Linked DNA regions of Saccharomyces cerevisiae S288C. The gene in region 1 interacts genetically with each later gene. Each region holds a gene or a part of one and is shown in the gene's direction. Other genes may lie near its edges.

Region 1 (6,386 bases):
ATTCTTGAGCAGTAATACTCTGACTTTTTTACGACTAGACATCTCTCGAGCAAGGTCTATTTTACCTTTCTGTTTCCTTATCCTTTGACACTAAAATTCAAAAAACTCACTAGAAAGTTCACTAAAGCGCCTTAGCTGACTACAGCACAACCCAACCCCAAAAACTAGTGAACTACACACTAAGAGAATTTATGGTATTTCCATAATTGAAGTATATGTACGATGTATACAATGTAAACAAGAGAGTAATGAAGTGAAGATATGTACACCTAGAGCGAACCAATGATAATTTGTTTTCTTAATTAAGAAAAACCATTAAAACTGGATTAGATTTCAATAATGAAAAGCTAGGAACAAAAAAAATTGGTCTACTTCCAGCCATTTGCGCTTTATATAGACATATGGAGGCGTGATGTCTTAAGCATGGTAATCCGGAAGATCAGTTTATTGAATGATGGTTTTCTTATCCTGAAGGATCCTGCAAATGAAGTAAGTTCAAAGAATTGAAATGAAATCGCCTTTTATACCCTCGCCGCACCAAGGAGCGCGCTGTGAAAATTTTTCGCTTTATCTCTTAGGGCTCCTACTGTCGGTAGAGAAAAGTTGAGTATATTTAAAGCATGAGGTAACTTTTCTGCCCATTTTTACTTCTATTTCCATTTGAATTCAGAAAAGTGAAGCAAAATTACACCATGAGTTCCTATTAACGTCAGCCTCTTTTGTACTCATAATGTGGCTTCGGATGTTTGATGGGCGTTGCTTCAGTGCGTACGGCTCATGGTAGATTAATTATTAGAAAGATGTATCTCCAGCTGTTGATATTAGAGGGGGAAGCCTTTCTCTTTCACCTCGCCTTTTTAAACACCTGATACAGTTGGTCATGATTCGTTCTACATTTTAATTTCTTTATGTAACCACGTTGTATATTTTCAATCTGGAAAGTAACCTAAAAGAGTAAAAACTGTTTATTAAAAAAAATGTTATTCAAAATTTATACATAGTACACGTACAGCTGCCTGAAGAAAGCATGAGCGAATGACTTATGCTTCGTCGTCTTCGTCTTCACTTTCCAAAGCAGCAAATGCGTTGAAACCAAGAATTGGCTTGTCCGCAACAATATCTCTGGTATCAGCAGGTCTGTTGGAAGAAATATTTTTGTTATTTGGCTTGACTTTTAAAGTTTCTTGGGCAATGGTAGCAACTGGCACAGTAGAAGTTGGTGTGGTTTCTGTTTCTTCTTCATCATCTTCTCCACTACCCTTCTTCTTGGCTTCAAATGTGCACCAACCATCTGAATCGGTTGTAACCTTAGGCTTGTTGTGCTTAATCTTTGGTCTACCATGATGGTGGGAAGATCTTCTACGACCGAAATGACCAACATGATGACTGTTAAACTCTTCCTCTTTCAAGTGTTGCAATTGCTTAACTTTTTCAATGATGGCTCTAAATTCCACCGCATCGAAATTAACTTCCAAAGTTAAACTTGGCTTCAGTTGAAAAAGCTCATCGATAGTATACTTGATCATGTCGTGAAATTAAATAAAAGTTCTTAATCCTATATTCAGGTTACAGCTCAAATAATGTCTATCGCAATCGGTAGAATATGCTTTACGCCAAATACTTTTTCCAATTTTTCACTATTTTTCGTCCAGGAAAAGAGATATTCAAGCCTCGCTACTACCCGGCTTTATAATATAGCATAAGAAAAGGGACTATAAAGCCTTATTAAAACACTACTATACCCTTGCAGAGAGAGTATTATTATCTATGGAGATCCAGGCAGTGTGACATGAGTGAACTGCTTGCCATTCCACTTAAGCGAACTTTAGAAGTGGACTTTGCCACGGAGTTGTCAAAACTAATTGATACTACTTCCTTTCAAACGGCATCCTTTTTCCAATCAGACATACTCAAAGTTGTTGATGCAAGAAACAATGCGATTGCACCCGATATCTCAATCGACGGTCTTTCTGCACTGAAGGAATACTATGTAATATTGTTGCAATTAGAGAAAAAGTTTCCCAATAATCAAATAGAATTTACATGGTTTCAAACGCTATCACAAAAATCTCGTGGTACTAGTCAATACTCATTACAATGGGAAAAATTAACCATTATTTATAATATTGGTTGCATGTATTCACTGTTGGCTCTAAATAGCAACAATGATGCAGCCGAATCCCTCAAAACGTCATGTCTGTACTTCCAGAATGCCGCCGGATGCTTTAAACATGTTTTAGACCACCAAAAAAATCTTGAGACAATCCCAGTGGTAGATGACGCCACATTGAACGCTTTAACCTCCCTGATGCTAGCACAAGCGCAAGAATGCTTCTGGTTTAAAGCCGTGCAAGATAAACACAAGGACTCCTTAATCGCGAAGTTGTCACAACAGATCGTGGACTTCTACTGCGAGGCTATTAATGACGCCCAAAGGGGGAAACTTATTAGAAGTGATTGGATAAACCACTTAAAGGCTAAAAAGGCTTACTTTAGTGCGGTGACTTATTACAGAATAGCCTTATCTTTTAATGAGAAGAAGCAGTTCGGAAATGTTGTGAAAGCTCTGCAAATGGGATTGCAATTTATAAATGAATCAACACTATCTTCGCAAGCTAAGTTTAAAACTGTTGTCGAATCTTCTCTGAAAGAAGCCCAAAGAGACAATGAATTCATCTACTTACAAGAAGTTCCTTCGGAATTACCATCGATCAAACCAGCTCTCATGGTTAAACCATCTTCTTCAGCAACATTGTTGCCTTCTATTAAAAAGGATGAGACTTTATTCAAAGACCTAATCCCTATAGAAGTGATGGAATATTGCACAGCATACAATGAAAGGCAAGATGAATACGTTGAACAACGTGTTACCAATCCCCTTGCTTCCCTAAATAAACTATTGAAGGAGTCCTTGACTACTTTCCAAATACCACAAGGGCTTACAAAGGTGAGTGAAGCAGAACTGAGTCATTACCAGGCATCACTGAATAATCTTCTCATTAATAATAAAAATGTGCAGGTACAACTCGATAACATTGAGCAAATTTTAAATGAAGAAGCATTTACTGACAATCAGCTCCGACTAAAACACGGAACCTTAAATTGGACTTTACCCGAATCTTCAACTACTAACACAGCATATTATGAAAAACTAAAAAAGCTGAGAGGATACCTTGATGAAGGTAGTGCGATTGACAAACAAACAAATGAACTATTTCAAAGCATCGATAAAAATTTGATTGGATCAGAGATCAGGTTACCGGAATCTAATGATCCTCTAACGAATAAGATTAAGATGATCATACAGGAAAGAAATGATTATATTGATAGGACGAGGCGGAAATCTTCAGAATATAGAATACTTCCAAAGATCATTACATCGTATAAAAAAAATGGAACAGTCGACTTTGAACCCATTTTCATAGGCCATTTAAAATACTTTGACGAAGATTTAAGATACGTTAATAGTACAAAGGAAGAAAATATCAAACTTATTGAGGAAGTAAACCTAAGTAAGAAGAATAACCCCGGCAGAAGCGGGATTGAACCAAAGAAAATGGTAAGAATAGATCCCAGAGAGCTATATATTGAAGATCTGAGATATTCCTTCAAACTGCTTGATGAGGTGAAAGAAAATTTAAGTGCCGGCACAGCATTTTACGAAAATTTAATTACTTCTACCAGCAATCTGTACAATGAGGTACAGGAATATGATACAGCAAGAAGAGCAGAAAAAGCTAGGCTTGATAAGAGTTTGACATTTGAAGACCAATGATACCTGTCCTCATTCATCTATAAAGTATATTTTGAGCTTGTCATCCTCCCTTTCCATTATCAAAACCCAGCTTCACTTATGTAGATATATACACTCAGGATAAACTCCTTTTTCCTAATATTTTCATTCCACAGTCTCCTTCTTGTTTATTTTCCATTTTTCAAAATCAGCTTGACGAGTGTTTCTTTTCAAGTTGGATTTATGTCTTCTGCTACCCAAATGAATTTTCCAATATTTTTCGCCAATAGCTACAACGTTCTTACCATCTGCGTTACGACAGACGTTGCAAGTATAATGTGTCCAATCGTCCAATTTCTTCATCGTAGTTTCGCCTTTAGACAACAGCTCCTCTAGGGCTTTAGGTGCCCTTTCTTGCTTGATGGGTCGATTGCTAATAAAGTCATTGGAAATAGCTATCGCTCTTTGAGATGCATTCGTGTCCCATTGAGAAAGGTCAGTGGCATCCAGTAAGTATATATCGCCTTTGATGTCAGGTATCAGCATTTTCTTGATCCATTTTACCTGCCTTTTTGCGTATTGACGTGTTCTCGTTTTCATTCTTTCTATACAATCCTCCAATTTTACTGTGTTGTCATCAGTTTTCCCGGTTAGCCACGGTAAGAATTCTTTGAAGCCAATAACTTGCCAAACACCATTCTCGCATTGCTCCGGCGTAAATTTATTTTGACTGTAATATTCATATAATTGCTTGATTTCTTGCAAGGCGCCTCTTTCTAGCATGTCGTCTACACGATCGTCAAGCCTTTGGAAAAGTGGCTCCGGCTTACTGTATAGCCATAAAAATAGGGTATCAAACTTCAAAGTTATTTTTTGTTCGTTAAATGTCTCGCTTGGTTTTTTGCCCGTCTTATAGTAGATTTCCAACATTCGTTGTACCCTCCTGTAGTCATTAGGATGGTATTTGGTAGCTATATCAGGATCACACTTCACAAGTGTGTTATAAATCACATCAGGGTCAGTCGATTCCAAAATATCGAGCTGCTTCCTTGTGAGCTTACGTTCGGATGATTTCGTATCGACCCGCTTATTGAAAAGAGTCTGCAAATAATAATGAGTACCCCCAACAACGATGGGTATCTTACCCCTCCGGTGAATATCTTCAATAGCGTTCATGCATTCAGTTTCAAAACGATGGGAATAGTATTCTTCTGACCAATCTACGTGATTCATTACATGGTGAGGAATGCCCTCTCTTTCTTGAAGCGGATGTTTATTTGTTATAATAGGAATATCTTTATATACCTGCATAGAATCCGAATTGATAACTTCGCCATTAAATTTTTGTGCCAATTGTATGGACAACTGAGACTTTCCTACTCCTGTTGTACCAGCAATCACTATAACTTTTTTAGACATATTTAAGCAACCTTTAAGCGGTCCCTTTAGCATGAAGATTTTTGGTTCTATTTACAAAAGATATGTACGTATAGTAGCTTATCTAATAAACTATACAGCCCTCACTGAGCTTTTCTTCTTTTTTGCCATTTTAGAATTTTTTTCTGTTTTAATTTTCTTTCCGATGAGCGAAAGATGAACGTGTGCTTTCGCCTGATTCAGTAATCAAGATCTTAGATCGACGTTGCCATCGAGGAGCAGCAACATAAGGAACTTTTACCTGATTTTAGCTTATACGAGCAAAATTCGCTCTTTATCTTTCGAAGGCATGACCACAATAGCGCAAGTAGATATGTAAATAAATCTTCCTAAACCGGTCTCGGAATGCAAAGAGCTTCGTATTTCAAAATTACCCGAATCCTATACATGTCAGGAATCAGGTTATACTCCCTAGCTCTTTTCCTGTTTGTCCATCTTTTTCCTATCATAGATGGTTATGGAGGCGGCTGTTTCTGTAAGAACTACGGAGTCGCGGCCCGGAATGGGAGAAATGCGAAGAAGCAGGCCGCAAGTGGAAGAAATTATTGGGGTAAAAGATCAACTAATGAACTCTGGATATAAAAAGTACAGTTAGCGTTTCTTCCCAACTTTCTTATGCTGCTATCAGCAAATGCATTTGCATAGGCTACAAGCCACAAGCCACAAGCCAATAAGGCATATGAATAATAAGAGAAAAAGTGCCTAATTGCTGTTTATATCAACCGTATGGCGTGCTTTAGCTGCAATAAACTTGTTTTCGCCGATTACCACTAATGGCCGACTTCCACGGATCCCAAAAATAGTGCCACGTCGGTACGGTCGGGCATAGTGGTTATTATTTCCGGGTTGTGACCCGCTTCGGATAATTGATCTATCCCCGAGGTAATAGGCCCGTGCGGTTCCGTCTTCATGAAGCTGCAGGGGCTCCGCTTAAAAGCCCCTGACGGCTCACCTTAAATCCGTGTTACGACACTATGCCAAATGAAGGAAACACTGAAATGATTGCATACCCGCACTCGTGCTTACATGCTAATTGTCCTTGTCAGAGCAAACGGTACCGGAGGCTTGAATGTGTTTATGTGTATATATATATTCGCCTGTATGGAAAGTTATAGGTTGTCAATTTGTTGTACCTGACACATCGATTTTCTAGTCATCACTTTCCTGAAAATTACAGAATAAAGATACCATCTTATACACACACATACACACACAA
Region 2 (4,290 bases), on another chromosome or scaffold:
GGGAAAAAGGTCCGGGGAAATGGAGTCCGTGCGAGTTTTGTTAGGATGACTGCCCCACACATTTCCTCATCTTATAATTTTGTGGAAAAATTCATCGTGAGAGAAAATACGAGTCCATTTCTCCAGTGAAACTACCGTAGACATGGAATATCTGCCATTCTACCCCTTATTCAAGTGCCTTTTTTTTTTTTTTTCATCCCACATTTTATTGCTGCCTCAATCTCCATTAAGAAAAAAAATTTATATAACCAAATGACATTTTTCCTTTCTTCTCAAACTTTGTAATGCGCCTGTAACTGCTTCTTTTTTTATTAAAAAACAGCATGGAGTTTTTTAATAACTTAAGGAAACATACAAAAAGATTTGTTCATTTCACTCCAAGTATTTTTTAACGTATATTGAAAGTTCTCAATAGCGAAACCACAAGCAGCAATACAAAGAGAATTTTATTCGAACGCATAGAGTACACACACTCAAAGGAATGTTTGTTTCACCACCACCAGCAACTTCGAAAAACCAAGTTTTACAACGACGTCCATTAGAATCGACTAACAGTAATCATGGGTTTGCAAGCTCCCTACAGGCCATTCCGGAAAACACGATGAGTGGCAGTGATAATGCTTCTTTTCAAAGTTTGCCACTATCAATGAGTAGCTCTCAATCCACGACTTCTTCGAGAAGAGAGAACTTTGTGAATGCTCCTCCGGAGTACACTGATAGAGCTAGAGATGAGATTAAAAAAAGATTATTGGCCTCCTCACCTAGCAGAAGGTCACATCATTCAAGCAGTATGCATTCAGCGAGCAGGAGATCAAGCGTGGCTGAAAGTGGGAGTTTACTTTCGGATAATGCCTCGTCTTATCAATCAAGTATATTTTCTGCCCCCTCTACTGTGCACACGCAACTAACTAATGACTCTTCGTTCTCCGAATTTCCTAACCACAAGTTAATCACGAGAGTGAGCCTGGATGAAGCATTACCCAAAACGTTTTATGACATGTATTCGCCAGATATTCTATTAGCAGACCCATCCAACATTCTCTGTAACGGGCGTCCCAAGTTTACCAAGAGAGAGTTATTGGATTGGGATTTAAACGATATAAGATCGTTATTGATAGTCGAGAAGTTAAGGCCCGAATGGGGTAATCAACTACCGGAAGTAATAACGGTGGGTGATAATATGCCCCAGTTTAGGTTACAATTATTACCACTATATTCTAGCGATGAGACCATAATCGCAACGTTAGTCCATTCGGATCTGTACATGGAGGCTAACTTAGATTATGAATTCAAACTAACCAGCGCCAAATATACAGTAGCGACCGCTAGAAAAAGACATGAGCATATAACTGGTAGAAATGAAGCCGTCATGAATTTGTCGAAACCGGAATGGAGAAATATCATCGAAAATTACCTCTTAAATATAGCAGTAGAGGCACAATGCAGGTTTGATTTCAAACAAAGATGCTCCGAATATAAGAAATGGAAGTTACAACAGTCCAACTTAAAAAGACCGGACATGCCCCCACCAAGCATAATACCGCGGAAAAACAGCACAGAAACAAAATCGCTTCTGAAAAAGGCTTTATTGAAGAACATTCAGTTGAAAAACCCCAATAATAACCTTGATGAATTGATGATGAGATCAAGCGCCGCAACAAATCAACAGGGAAAAAACAAAGTCAGCTTATCTAAAGAAGAAAAGGCTACGATATGGTCGCAATGTCAGGCACAAGTTTACCAAAGATTAGGATTGGATTGGCAGCCGGATTCAGTATCCTGAAGATACTAAAAAGAAACCTTCCCGATGGTTTTTTTGGAGACTCTTCGATTGTATCAATACTATCCCATGGACATCAGTTTTAATAGAGGAGCTCCAAATTCCCAAGGAATTGAGGAAGAAGCGCCAATGATTTATATATACAAACTAGCTGTTGCAGCTTTATAGAGATTTAGTAATAAGAATTTTATGGGAACGTGGTACCGTTATCGCAGTAAAGAGTCAAGGGTAGCGAAGATCAAACCATACGATGACGAAATACCTTTAGTTCTTAGCATCACCAATCGCAGACATCCAACGTATCCGTGCGCGTAATCCTTCTCTTGGTAGTTGAGCACAGCATACAGAAGAAGCCGCGCGCAAGCGGTAAATGTCTTTCCTCCGGCCTTCTAACCACCAAAACCGATCTCGGAACATGGGGGGGGGAAGGTCCTCTGAATCGAAAAACCCGAGACAGCGAGAGGGATTTTGCAGAAAATTACAAAGATCACTATTTACTGCTCCCCTCACTTCCGCAGTCCCCTAATAGCGGAAGATGCAATGGGTGTGGGCTCTGGGTGCCCTTTAACCACGCCCTCAAAAGGGGGTCCTGGTTATTTTGCGATGGGCGCCTCTATAAATACAAAAGAGGAAGTGAGTGTTTTTGTTTTGGAAGAGGGAAAGGAAAAAAAGAAGAAAATTTACTATCGGTTGTTGTTTTTCGCCAGTATAATACAATTGATTATACATTTTGAACTAAACAGCACAGCACAATACAACAATGGATTCTGCCAAGATCATTAACATTATATTATCCCTTTTCTTACCACCAGTCGCCGTTTTTCTAGCCCGTGGGTGGGGTACTGACTGTATAGTGGATATCATTTTGACCATTTTGGCTTGGTTCCCAGGTATGCTATATGCCTTGTACATTGTCCTACAAGATTAAGCTCATTCAATAAACGAAAGTAACTATCAAATGAAATAAGGAAGCAGTATTAGGAAACGGTATCAACATGTTCGGGTCACCCTCATTTTTATTTGTTTCCTTTCTTTTTTTTTGTTTCTCTTTCTCTTAAGGTTTCCTCCCCCGCTGTTAATTTTAACTACGTGTGTATTTTTTAATAATTAATTTTATCACAAAAAAAACTTCTCATCTTTTTTGCCTTTTATCATTTTTGTACTTTTTTCTTCGCTTAAAATACACATGATATAGACGCTTAACTATCTGTCCTGCAAGTTTGTTTATCTATATAAATATAGCCAGTATCATCCGTTTACCTGTGTTGTAGAGTTCCAAAAGATAGAACAGCCTTTTATCAGATGGGTGGCAGACCCTTACCCATATTATCTCTCTTATTTTGTTTTTATTTCTCTCTAGCCTTATAATTATTTTTAGTTTCCTTTCTGTAGCAATAAGTGTTCTTAGCAGTGGCGTTGCGTTGCCTTGACCTTGATTATCAATTTAAGCAGCTTTCTGCTCACAAGCCACTTCAAAACGACTCGTGAATGATTTTTCGATCAATGATATCTTATCATAATTCGGATTTGATAGGAAATCATCATCCTCTTCCTCGTAGTAGGCGTCTTCCCTCCTTTCATTAACAAGTTTATTCTGCTTCACAAATGTAACTGTACTAGTTGAATTCAAACGCCTACTTTTGTTAACACTACCTGAACTAATATCATATTCCAGACCAGCTGTAGTATGATTGATCAATGATTCTGAGGATTCATTTAGCATATTAATTATCTCCTCATCAATAACTATTTCCTCCTTTCCGCTTATGGGACCACTGGTCTTTTCTTTTCCATCTGCCACCGGTAATGATGATCTATTGTAGTGGAATAACTTGCAACCGTAATCAAGCAACCTGCACATGTAGAGGAATAGATCGATCGCGTCCAGTATGATAATAGGCAACAGCAATACGATGACACCCAAAGAGCACATCAACTGGAAAATGCCAAACATTAACATCAGTCCTGATCTTATTTCGGATAATATCCCGCAGTGCCACGTCAAAGATAGTACCTTATCAAAGGCGTGGTTGATAATAACAAGTGCTAATCGGCTATTTGACATGATCTCTTCCTTTCCTGATGAGTTCTTGGTATCGTGATCGATCACAGTTGAACCTATAAGTTTTCTAAGCTTCGGGAAAAAAAACATTGTAACTAAAGGCAATAATGGATGCAGATGCCTGGCAAGGAAGGAAGAAAAAAAGACAATAGAATGCCGTTGGTATATATTCTCCGGCTGCCCCGTCAAAGGACTTCTAAAAACTAATATCAAGAAAATCAAAAAAAAAAATCAAAAAAAAAAATAAAGGAAAAAAAAAGATCTCTATCTTTATGTCGGTAGATATGACACTCCCTTCACGTTTATCATCTCTTGAACCTTTTCTAGTTCATCTACACCGTTCCTATTATCTTTCTTTTGCCCCCTTCTCTTCCCTCGTACATGTTTTCTTGCCTTTTACATTCCTCACGCCCTACTGACAGCTATTGCACTTTGGCGGCACCACTCA
Region 3 (8,573 bases), on another chromosome or scaffold:
TAAATCTGAAGAATGCAGAAACTCCAAATATTTGCTTCTTTGATATTTCGTAAGCTTACAAAAGAGAACCATTTCTTTCTTTTGTGGCAGATCTTTTGCAACATCAGCTTTCACACGACGTAACAGGTACGGTGAAATCAAGTCACGCAATGCAACAGCACATTTGTAGCCGGTCTGAACTTGTATGTTTGTTGCGTTTGCATAACCACCAATATTTATAGGTATGACAAACTGTTGTTGAAACACAGGTAGAGTTCCTAATTTACCAGGGAAAATGAAATCAAAAAGCGACCAAAGCTCGGTTAAATTATTCTGTATCGGTGTTCCTGAAAGAATGATCCTATTATGTGTCTTCAGTTTTTTGCAAGTCAATGAAATCTCCGAATCTGGGTTTCTAATCTTATGTCCCTCATCTAAAACAGCATACTGCCATTTAACTTTTAGTAGCTTATCTGAATGTATTCTTAACCCAACGTACGTGGTAATTAAAATGTGCCCATCAGTAACGACTTTATCTATCAACTTATCTAAATGATAGCTTGATTCCAATGCCTTCTTTGTCCTTGTTGAGTTCTTCCAATCCTCGTAAGAAAAATCACTTGGCTTTGAATTCATTATCAAGTTCTCTAGATCGTTTTCATCCATCTTAAATTTTTGGTCAGAAGCCATTCCTGAACCCATTGAGTGCAATATGACCGTCCTCAATGGAGGCCACCAATGCTGGAACTCATTACACCATTGCTTCATCACAGTTGCAGGACAGACAATTAATACAGGGCCTGTTAATAGACCTGAATGATGCAACGCTGCGATAAATGCGATAACTTGAATCGTTTTTCCCAGACCCATTTCGTCACCAATAATACCGCCACAGTTCTGCTGGTAAAGCTCATAGAGCCACTGAACGCACGTCTTTTGGTAATTAAATAACAGCGAGTATATTTCACCGGGTATTTTGAACTGGCTATTAAGTTTTGCGTCGGGAATATTCGGATGAGGTCTTCGCCATTCTGGCAAGTCCGATGACCTTTGACTACCGCAAGAACGTTGTTTCACCCATTTTTTTAACCTTTCTTGATAATACAACTCGTCCCCATCATCCTTCGCCTCACCAGGTTGGCCTCTGAACCGCAGGTCTTCCAGTTCTTTGAGAATTTTATCGTCATTTTCTTCTTCTTCGTCATCTTCACTCTCTTTACCACTCATTTGATAGTCTTGATCGCTGAGATTGTCATCCTCATCCGTTAAATTTTCTACCATTTGTTCTGTTGCCATTTCAAAATCCTCATCTTTTTGTTCGTCATTCTTGGCATACTCTCTGTTTGCAGTGTCCAAGCTGAAACCAGCCTTGTGTCCAAATGCAGTGATCTTACCAGTCCTGATTAAAAACTCCTTCTCAGTTTCACCGGGTCTCTGCAGCCCCTCTTTGGAACCTTTATTTTCAGCACCTTGATCTACCTGCTCTTTCAACTCTTTAATCCTTGATTGGATATCGTCTATGTCCTTCAGAACTCGTTCAATATCGTCTGATTGTAAGTTCTTGATCTGGTCTCGGAGATTCTGCTTAACAGATATCCTAGTGGTATTGTTCAACTTCCTTGTGAGATGATTCTTCTTATTGACATAACGTTGCAGAGCGGTCTTACTCCGTTCTAGACGAGTCTCTTCTTGCTGCAGCGATTGTAGGTTGCTAAAGTTAGTTACATCATTAGCTATTTTTTCCTCCAAACTGCTTTGGGAAAGCACGTTAACTCCCAGATCTTTTAGTGACTCATTGTTTTCAAGTTTCGCATTGTCTTGCTGCTCTTTATCTTCCATCACTGATGTATGTTTCTCTGAGCAATGTTATATATATATATATATATATATTATCAAACCTCTTCCCTTCTTTTTTTTTCTTCCACTTTTATTGCATCGCCCTTAACTGAAATGAAGCTAAGGTATAAATTTGTACTTAGACTGATTATAATTTCTACTTACGGAACTTGTTAAGTGCATTTTTATTGTTCTACCCTCTATTTTTTAAATGTAATGTTCTTGAATACGCTACATGCGTATATATATATATATATATTGTAAGAGGATTACTGGACAAACCGAATAAAAGAGCTTGACGCATATATTTATTTATGTATATATTTACAGGCCAATTTTCATAAATAATCAGTCCTTCTGCTGGCTGTTCAGAAGTTTTAGCTTTTCCATCTCCTCCCTCGGATCAAACTTTCCTTTGCACAAGTTTTCGTACTGTTGATCGTACTTGCCAGTCGACAGAGGTGCGTTACCTGTGAACCGCTTAGTCATGTCGACGATTCCTCGCTTACAATCCAAAAATGCTTTCATCTGAGCAATACAAAGTTCGGGCAGATCCTTATTCAGCTCTGGATTGTCAAGACATTCTTGAGGGTTATGTCTCTCTATCATGACACAGGGCGATCTCTGCAAACATATAGCGACAGCCTTCTTCTGATCTTTACAACTAGCTACCATTCTTTGATATCTACAAACGCACTGCAAATTTATTTGTGTCTATTCTGTTCCGATTAATTGTTATGGCAGCCTTTTAATATACTATCCCTCTTTCTTTAAAGCTGCCCGCATAGCGAAACCTCGTTATGTTATTGTTTCAAGCACTTCAGTTTTTTTAATAATTAAAGGGATCTAAGAACACCGCAAACAATTGAGAAAGTAAACAAACGTGCACACGCAAAGGTAGTTCTCATGTCATTGAACTTTCTTCCAGGACGCCCCAATGCTACCCCTCAGACAGCTTGTCAAGCAACATGGCAAAATCATACCATCTTTGCATATTGTTCAGGGAATAATTTAATCATACTTACCAACAAATTCACTAGGTTACAGACCATATATACACAATCAGACTGTACTGCGGTCGATATTAACAGCCAGAATGGATTCATTGCCCTTTCCTTCCACAATAGGGTGCTCATCTACAAGCCCATTCATCAAATTATGCAGAATCCCAAGTGGACCCAATGTTGCCAGTTGTTCCATGATGACACGCCAGTAAACTGCCTAAGATGGTCTTCTGATAATGAGTTAGCCATTGGATCTGATTTTCTTTCTTTTTGGAAAATTAAGGATAATTTTGGTGTGTATCAACCTATTTTGCAGTGGAACCAAAAACAGCCTAAACCTGTTTATAATGTGATTATATCACAAGATTCGCAGCTGATAGTCAGTATTGGGAAGTACGACTGTAATGCTAAACTATGGAAGCGTGTTTCAATAGTCGGAGAACAAGCCATCTTTAACCTTACTATGTTGCCTCATCCGAAACCTATAACTGCAATGCGGTGGAAAAAAGAGCCAGACCAGGTGAGTAAAAACAACACTGCCTCTCATGCTCTTTATACGCTGTGTGAAGATAAAGTTCTGAGAATATGGTCTTGTTTTGAAATGGAGAAAAACCATACTGTGCAAATATGGGGTGAAGTGCCTCTTTCCCCCACGCAGAAGTTCTGCGTGATAATAGACAATTGGATCATTAGGCAAACTCTCAGTGTGAAAGACTCGGAAATCTTTGATATATCTGACTCAGACATTGTTATTCTGGGTTCAATGACTGGGGAAATGGAAGTTTTGGCTTTGAATAATCTTTCCCAAGATCCTCCAAAACCAATGACTAAAAAGACCATTTCCCATAAAAAAGTCAAGAAAGCAACTATGCTAAACGATACAAGATATTTGTACCTCCCCGAAATACAACCCTATGACAATGTGAAGGGCAAACTTTCTTTTCTCGTCCACGATTTACAAGGTGTAATCAGACATTTACTAATCGACATTCTGCAGCTTATAAACAATAAAACCGAAGATCTGAGTGCCGCTTTAGAGCACAAATTTACGGGACATAACAAATCTGTGCAGAAGTTGGTAAGAAGCAGCGACGGCGAAGCTTTATTAACCACTTCGAGATTCTCAGAAAATGGCGTTTGGTACCCACAAAAGTTAAACCATGGGGTTTCACTGCGGTTACAAAATACAATACAAACAGAATCTCCCATAAAATTTGCAGTTGTACATGAGTTGGGTAAACAGGTCATCTGTCTTCTCGAAAATGGGGCTTTACAAGCCTGGGAATGTCCAACGAATCGTAAGGAGGACAGTGAACAGAAGCAATCATATTTACGTGTGGAAACGAGACTGAAAGAGGAGAAAAAAATCCATCCAATAGTTATGTTAAATACACCTGAGCCAAAGCATAGTCATGAGCGTCATTTCACCGCGTTAATATTCTCTGATGGTTCAATCAAAGCTTTTGAAGTCTCTTTAACACGTGGTATTTTTGAAGTAAAGTCTGATTCATTAGATATCGATGGTGACGACATATACAAGATCTCCATTATTGACCCTGTACATCAAACTTTTGTGAGTAACAGGCCTTTGATTTCTTTGATTACTAAAAAAGGTCTTACCAGAACGTATAAAGCCATCGTTAATTATAATGATAGGCATGTCCAATGGATCAAGGCATGTGAAATTAACACCGGAATAATGAATTGTACATGTATTAGAGGATCATCTACAGGTAAGTTATGTATTGTTAATTCTACTGGTAAAGTAATGTCACTATGGGACCTGAACAGGGGAGTTCTTGAATACGAAGAAACATTTCATAATCCTATCGAGGATATAGATTGGACAAGCACGGAATATGGCCAAAGCATTGTCTCTATCGGATTTACAGGATACGCTTTACTTTATACTCAATTAAGGTATGATTACACGAACAACACACCTAGTTACCTACCTATTGAAAAAATTGATATCACAGCACATACAGCTCATAATATAGGTGACTCCGTATGGATGAAAAATGGCACGTTTGTTGTTGCTTCCGGAAATCAATTTTACATCAAGGATAAATCTCTGGATTTGACTGATCCATTTACGTACCAATCAATTGGTTCAAGAAAAATTTTATCAAATGATATTCTCCATTTAAGTAGTGTTTTAAATGGTCCACTTCCAGTTTATCATCCACAATTTTTGATTCAAGCCATTTATGCGAATAAGTTACAACTTGTCAAGGAGCTGTTATTAAGATTGTTTTTAGCGTTAAGAAAATTAGACTTTGAATCGCAAGATGTATCTAATTTGGATTCCAATCTAGGAATGGATCCATTAAAGTACTTTATTGCTAAAGATAGAGACTATCCGGTCGAATCTTTCCCTGATCCATACCCCTGTTTCAATAAGACAGTGTCTCTAGCACTTACTGAGCAACTAACGAAAACAACTTTGCCTTATCTAACCCGCCACCAGCAGATCACGCTTATCACAGTCATTGAAGCAGTGGATGAAGTCACCAAAAATGAGAATATAGTAGATTACAACGGTGTTAGGTTCTTGTTGGGCGTGAAGTTATTTTTATCACATAAAAATATTCAAAAAAGCATATTGATGAGGGATGTGTCTTGGGCATTGCACTCAGACAATAAAGAAATATTATTATCTTCTATTGACCGCCACATAACCTCATGGAATCGCGCTCGAGAATATAGAATAGCCTATTGGATTAAGGAGCAGGACTTGGTGAAGAAATTCGAGGATATTGCAAAATATGAATTTTCCAAAGATGATAAGAGGGATCCAAGCCGTTGTGCTATTTTTTATCTTGCGTTGAAGAAAAAACAGATACTATTGAGCTTGTGGAAGATGGCTATTGGTCATCCTGAGCAGCAAAAGATGGTTAGATTTATCAGTAATGATTTCACTGTACCGAGGTGGAGAACGGCAGCACTCAAAAATGCTTTTGTTCTGCTAAGTAAGCATAGATATATGGATGCAGCAGTTTTCTTTCTCTTAACTGACTCTCTAAAAGATTGTGTCAACGTTCTTTGCAAGCAAGTGCATGATATGGATTTGGCAATCGGTGTATGTCGTGTTTATGAAGGTGATAATGGACCCGTGTTGGGAGAGCTATTGACAGCGCAAATGCTACCTGAAACAATAAAGGAGAATGATAGATGGAAAGCAAGTTTCATTTACTGGAAATTGAGAAAGCAGGAAGTGGCTATTAAAGCTTTGCTGACTGCTCCGATTGATTTAGAAAACAACTCAAGCATTGTTGATAAGGAAGTCTGTGTTAACAGATCATTCCTTGTTGAAGACCCTGCTTTGCTCTATCTATACAATCACCTGAGAAACAGAAACTTGAAGTATTTCATTGGATCTCTAAATGTTGAAGCAAAAATCGAGTGTACTCTGATCTTAAGAGTTACTGATATTCTTTGCCGAATGGGTTGCAATTACCTGGCGGTTTCACTTGTGAAGAATTGGAAGTTCATCGAAAGAAATTCCATACCAGTTCAGAAGCTATTAAAGAGCCCCACCAAGGATAGAGCATATTCTGCTATTGGCGCCATGGCGTCTGAACCAATTTCTACTGCTAGGATGAGGCCCAGTCTTTTTGATAAGTTTGGCTCGCCAAGTGCTTCAGATATAGAGTCACCTAATCCAAAGTTACCAAATAGCTTATTAGACGACTTCTTGCAACCACCACCAAATAGCACTTCTTCAAATTCCCTCGCTCAAAGTTCTTCTTCTGCACCTAGAAGTATACTGGATGAGTTCGTCTCTCCTTCATATTCTCAGCATAAAGAGAATTTAACTCCAAAAGCGCCAAACGACTCTGTGGGTGAAACAGACAACTCAGAAAATAGGAAAGATAAACTCTCTAAGGACATATTAGATGATCTTTCATCACAAAAGCCACAGAAGCCAAAAAAATCTGCTATTACCAAGAACTTACTAGATGACTTTGTATGATATCATATTTTTTATCAAATAAATGGATTTATAAATAAAAATAATTACATCTTATTAATGTAGTGTTTTCATATTGGGTTATTTAATCTCAAATTTCAGCCTTACAAGTAACTAATTAGGAGAAAAACTTTGATATATTCTTTCTTGTCTTTTCCTTATTCTCTTCTATGAGCCTATTGACATATTCTATTCTTTGTTCTATAACTTCGTCATCGGGATTTTTCTCTTTACAAAAAATATAATCTTGTAAAGCTTCGTCTAGTCTCTTTTTTTTTAAGTAACTGTTACCTCTTCTATAATAAGCCTTTGCTTGATCTCTGTTAGGAACGTTATCCATCTCCAATAAATACGTAGCATACATGATAGCATCATCGTATCTTTCCAGATTAAAGAGCACCAAAGATAAATTTAGGTAAATTTTCATCTTTAGGTTAATAAATTGGATGTTTCTTTCTTTGTCTACGTCGGGTTCAGGCATGTATTCATTGATATAATTTAAAGATTTTCTGTATTTGAAAAAGGCATTAGAGTAATCCTTTTTCTTAAATAAGAGCGTCCCAGATTCTTTGATTATATTAGCAGCCTCAAGAGCCTTACCAAAATCATCGTCACCGAAATGTGTATCATCGTCTGGATATTCTTCGTATACGTCACCGCCAATTTGGTCATTAGAAGCGTTGTAAAGCGGGACACCCATAGTTTTTTCCCACACTCCACAGTCGCTGATTCTAACGTCTGATTCAGGGACTCCATCAGAATCTACCCTGCAGTTTTCTATAGTGCGAACCACTGATTTTCCATGAACCACCTGCCCAAAAATAGAATGCTTGCCGTTCAAATGAGGTGCGGCGTATGTAGTTATGAAAAACTGGGAATTGTTCGTATTTGGAGAACCTAAATTGGCCATACCTAAGGTAAAGGGTTCTACAAACTCTCCCAAGTTTTCGTCTTCAAAATTCCCGTAACAGAAAGATTCATCATCGGTTTTCACTTCCTCTTTATCAGCGTAAATTGAACATCCACCTTTTCCAACAGACGATGAAGAGGAATCCTTTTGTGTCCCAAAGACAATGTCACCTGCCTGGATCATAAAATTCTTAACGACTCTATGAAAACCATTTCCCTTATAGCTCAGGTACTGTTGATCCTTCAAAGGACTCTTAACATCACCAGCGCATAACTTATAAAAATTCTCTGTTGTTTTAGGAGCCTTCTCACGAAAAAGTTTGCAGACAATACGACCAATTGGTTTTTTATCAATGGAGATGTCTAAATATACAAGGGGATCTTGAATCATCGCGTTGGATGTAGGTTGTTGCTGCCGAACACCTTTCAGAATAACGACTTTTTTTTTCTTTGCAGTTTCTCATTTTTATGATTTTCTAATCACTTCATCACTCAGCGCATTGGAAAAAAAACAATATATAGATCTCTTTGTTTACATGTTGGAACTAAGACCTTTTAATATGGATACTTTACACAGAGAATTGAACCATCTTAGTTAAGTTAATTCGCAACTTTGGTAAGAAGCGCCCAGGTTTAACTAATACGGCTTCATATACAAAATGCACGACGTGCCAATGGAAACTGTTTTGGCCGTGAACCCAGCTACGATGATTGTCAAAGAGTGCATCAATCTTTGTTCTGCCATGAACAAGCAGTCCAGAGATAAATCACAAACAAGTGTGGCCGCGTTGCTGGGCGGAGGTAGTGATATATTCTTGAGTCAAAGTGATTCGTTTGTTGACAGCTTCCACAATTTGCCTACTTCTAGCTAT
Region 4 (3,831 bases), on another chromosome or scaffold:
TTTTCATTACGACAATTAAGCAGCACAAGTGTCTGGCGCAATGCCTGACTACTGGGAAAAGTCGAAGCATTTGCACGGCGTCCATTACGATGGTTAAGGCAGTTTACGACGAATTGCGGAGTCAAGTTTTAATATTTATAGATAGCCCTGTCACCAGTATCGGGTGTTGTTTCTACCCAAGCGCCTGCCAGCCTCAAACAATACAACAGGTATTGTTTTTGGACAGCGGAATGCTGCGATGCAACAGTATCGCAGCATGGTACTGCTTTCCTCTAGTCTTTTGTCGAATGTGAGCAAGCAGCAGCTGAGACTCTGCCCAACCATCGTTAGCCAATCAGCGTCGAGAACGGGTCCCATGCCCGGCCGCGGCCCGTTTCGAGAAGATTTTTAAGTGCGATCCATCCTCCCGATCTTTTTATCTACAAGAACCATCGCAAAGAACAGAGTGATCTGCAAGAAGAAGAACTACAAAGATCAAAAAGTCTCATCTCACCATGTCTGTGTCTGCTGCTCCTGCTATTCCACAGTACTCTGTCTCTGACTACATGAAATTCGCCCTAGCCGGCGCCATAGGGTGCGGGTCGACTCACTCCAGTATGGTCCCGATCGATGTCGTTAAGACGAGAATCCAACTGGAACCTACCGTGTACAACAAGGGTATGGTCGGCTCTTTCAAGCAAATCATCGCCGGAGAAGGTGCTGGTGCGTTGTTGACCGGGTTTGGTCCTACTTTGTTGGGTTACTCTATCCAAGGTGCCTTCAAGTTCGGTGGTTACGAAGTGTTCAAGAAGTTCTTCATTGACAACTTGGGTTACGATACCGCCTCTCGCTACAAGAACTCTGTTTACATGGGTTCTGCTGCCATGGCCGAATTCTTGGCAGACATTGCCTTGTGTCCCCTAGAAGCCACTAGAATCAGATTGGTCTCCCAACCACAGTTCGCTAATGGACTCGTCGGAGGGTTTTCCAGAATTTTGAAAGAAGAAGGTATCGGCTCTTTCTACAGTGGGTTCACTCCAATTTTGTTCAAGCAAATTCCTTACAACATTGCTAAATTCTTGGTCTTTGAACGTGCCTCCGAGTTCTACTACGGGTTCGCCGGTCCAAAAGAAAAATTGTCCTCTACTTCCACTACTTTGTTGAATTTGCTTTCCGGTTTGACTGCTGGTTTGGCCGCTGCCATTGTTTCCCAGCCAGCAGACACTCTGTTGTCCAAGGTCAACAAGACTAAGAAGGCTCCTGGCCAATCCACAGTCGGTTTGTTGGCTCAGTTGGCCAAACAGTTAGGATTTTTCGGTTCCTTTGCTGGGTTGCCTACTCGTTTGGTCATGGTTGGTACCTTGACCTCCTTGCAATTTGGTATTTATGGTTCTTTAAAGAGCACTTTGGGTTGCCCACCAACCATTGAAATTGGTGGTGGTGGTCATTAGAAATGGTCTTGATTGATACATGCATATATATTCTCTCCTCATCACCACCGGAGCCCCTTTTTTTTTTCATATTCTAAGAAAGAGTCAACAAAGGAAAGAAATAAATAAATCTGTTTAAATGTACTCTATTCAATCACTAGTATTCTTATTCCATGTATTTACTGACTTTGCAAAAGTCCAAATATCTGTAAATTAACATGCTATTATAAATATATATATATATATATATTTGAATTTTCTATTTTTTCATCTACAAAAGCAGGTTATAGCTCCGTTAAACCCTTTGCTCATTGAATTGTCCTTCACGGTTTTTTGGTGGAAAACACAACATGGAACATAACATTTAAACATCGTTCTCAATCCATTTCATCGCAGTAACATATTTGGTCGGGCACATACGGACACGTATATGTTATACAGATAAATATAGCTTAAATATGGCTATATTTACACAACACAATGCTCGTGGGTCGTTACCCGACCATGCAGGATCGCCAGTATTCTTTATTTTTCCGCCTTCTAACATAAAGAAAAATAAACAAAAAAGTATTTGATCGAAAAGTAAAATAGGTAGACACCACGTATTGGCGACCCGATCTGGAGCCGTTTAGAAAGTCAATCATCACAAGGCCTAAAGTTGCTAACCACCAGCCATGTCCGGAATAATTGACGCATCTTCTGCATTAAGAAAAAGAAAGCATTTGAAAAGAGGTATAACCTTCACTGTGATGATCGTGGGCCAGTCCGGATCTGGTAGATCGACTTTTATAAATACTTTGTGCGGTCAGCAAGTTGTAGACACTTCGACGACAATCTTGTTACCCACAGATACGTCCACAGAAATAGACTTACAATTGAGAGAGGAGACGGTCGAATTAGAAGATGATGAAGGTGTCAAGATTCAACTTAATATCATCGATACTCCGGGATTCGGTGATTCTCTCGACAATTCTCCATCTTTCGAAATCATTTCCGACTACATTCGCCACCAATATGATGAAATCTTATTGGAAGAAAGTCGTGTGAGAAGAAACCCAAGATTTAAGGACGGCAGAGTTCATTGTTGTCTTTACTTAATCAACCCAACTGGCCACGGTTTAAAAGAGATTGATGTGGAATTCATCAGACAGTTGGGATCCTTAGTTAACATCATCCCTGTGATCAGCAAATCAGATTCCTTGACAAGAGATGAACTGAAACTGAATAAAAAATTGATCATGGAGGATATCGACAGATGGAACTTGCCAATTTATAATTTCCCTTTCGATGAAGATGAAATATCAGACGAAGATTACGAAACCAATATGTACCTACGTACACTTCTACCTTTTGCTATTATTGGATCCAATGAAGTTTACGAAATGGGCGGCGATGTTGGGACAATTCGTGGCAGAAAGTATCCATGGGGCATACTGGACGTGGAAGATTCATCGATCTCTGATTTTGTTATCTTAAGGAATGCGTTATTGATCTCTCATTTACATGACTTGAAAAACTACACACATGAGATATTATATGAAAGATATAGAACCGAGGCATTATCAGGTGAATCTGTCGCGGCAGAATCCATACGTCCAAATCTGACAAAATTGAATGGTTCGTCGTCATCGTCCACCACAACAAGGAGAAACACAAATCCCTTCAAGCAAAGTAATAATATTAATAACGATGTTCTCAACCCAGCATCCGATATGCACGGGCAAAGCACTGGCGAAAATAACGAAACCTACATGACACGTGAGGAGCAAATACGGTTAGAAGAAGAGCGACTAAAGGCATTTGAGGAGAGAGTTCAGCAAGAACTGCTGTTGAAAAGACAAGAACTGTTGCAAAGAGAAAAGGAATTAAGAGAAATTGAAGCCAGGTTGGAAAAAGAGGCGAAAATCAAACAGGAAGAATGAGTCCGCTTTTGGCTTCCTCACTTATTTCTTCTTTCTCTATATATATAAAGAGTGAGTGTTGTATATAAGTAAATACATCTGGTATATTATTTTTTTTTTTTCTTCATTCTTAAAAAGTATTAATATCGATCAGCAAAAAAAAATTAACAAAAAAGTTCCTTATTATATCTGCGTAGAAGTACTTATTTCTGCTCCACCTTTGGAGTATTTTTCCAAAATTGTGATGCCAAATGAGTAATGAAATAGAATTTCTTGTGTGGATCGTCATTATCGATTTGGTTTGGACAGTTAAAGGAGAATTTTGGAAAGACCAGAACATCACTTAGCAATTTTGGTTGATTTAGGTTATGGAATAATTTCCATGTAACCTTCTCCCTGACACCACTTCTCATAAAGTCATTGAAATACGTGAAAATAGTGTCAGTCCACAACCCAGAACCCGTCCAACTCATAATATTCAGATCATTCCTTAGATTGACGTTTAGTTGGTCGTCCCTCTT

What was found.
Region 2: mutations in RIM20 (region 1) and PMP3 together harm fitness more than expected from each alone (negative genetic interaction), as found in Saccharomyces cerevisiae (3 studies listed by BioGRID, with this or other methods).
Region 3: mutations in RIM20 (region 1) and RAV1 together harm fitness more than expected from each alone (negative genetic interaction), as found in Saccharomyces cerevisiae (3 studies listed by BioGRID, with this or other methods).
Region 4: mutations in RIM20 (region 1) and CDC11 together harm fitness more than expected from each alone (negative genetic interaction), as found in Saccharomyces cerevisiae (3 studies listed by BioGRID).

What each region holds. Positions count from the first base shown.
Region 1 is NC_001147.6:836,473-842,858, reverse strand, and holds RIM20 (Rim20p), read left to right. Parts: upstream 1-1,789; coding exon 1,790-3,775; downstream 3,776-6,386. Other genes in the region: uroporphyrinogen-III synthase HEM4, read right to left, coding at 1-42; CAF20 (Caf20p), read right to left, coding at 1,041-1,526; MOD5 (tRNA dimethylallyltransferase), read right to left, coding at 3,899-5,185. UniProt on the Saccharomyces cerevisiae protein: Required for the proteolytic cleavage of the transcriptional repressor RIM101 in response to alkaline ambient pH, which is necessary for sporulation and invasive growth.
Region 2 is NC_001136.10:1,011,894-1,016,183, reverse strand, and holds PMP3 (Pmp3p), read left to right. Parts: upstream 1-2,540; coding exon 2,541-2,708; downstream 2,709-4,290. Other genes in the region: MTH1 (Mth1p), read left to right, coding at 482-1,783; triglyceride-associated lipolysis regulator TLD1, read right to left, coding at 3,225-3,932; YDR274C (uncharacterized protein), read left to right, coding at 4,224-4,290. UniProt on the Saccharomyces cerevisiae protein: Plays a role in the regulation of membrane potential. Could mediate a proton leak.
Region 3 is NC_001142.9:490,600-499,172, reverse strand, and holds RAV1 (Rav1p), read left to right. Parts: upstream 1-2,721; coding exon 2,722-6,795; downstream 6,796-8,573. Other genes in the region: DNA-dependent ATPase RAD26, read right to left, coding at 1-1,818; PET191 (Pet191p), read right to left, coding at 2,164-2,490; peptidylprolyl isomerase CPR7, read right to left, coding at 6,911-8,092; Arf family guanine nucleotide exchange factor GEA1, read left to right, coding at 8,361-8,573. UniProt on the Saccharomyces cerevisiae protein: Component of the RAVE complex, which is required for stable assembly of the vacuolar ATPase complex V-ATPase under many conditions.
Region 4 is NC_001142.9:574,854-578,684, reverse strand, and holds CDC11 (septin CDC11), read left to right. Parts: upstream 1-2,083; coding exon 2,084-3,331; downstream 3,332-3,831. Other genes in the region: MIR1 (Mir1p), read left to right, coding at 495-1,430; HOC1 (alpha-1,6-mannosyltransferase), read right to left, coding at 3,514-3,831. UniProt on the Saccharomyces cerevisiae protein: Septins are GTPases involved in cytokinesis that assemble early in the cell cycle as a patch at the incipient bud site and form a ring approximate 15 minutes before bud emergence, which transforms into an hour-glass shaped collar of cortical filaments that spans both sides of the mother-bud neck.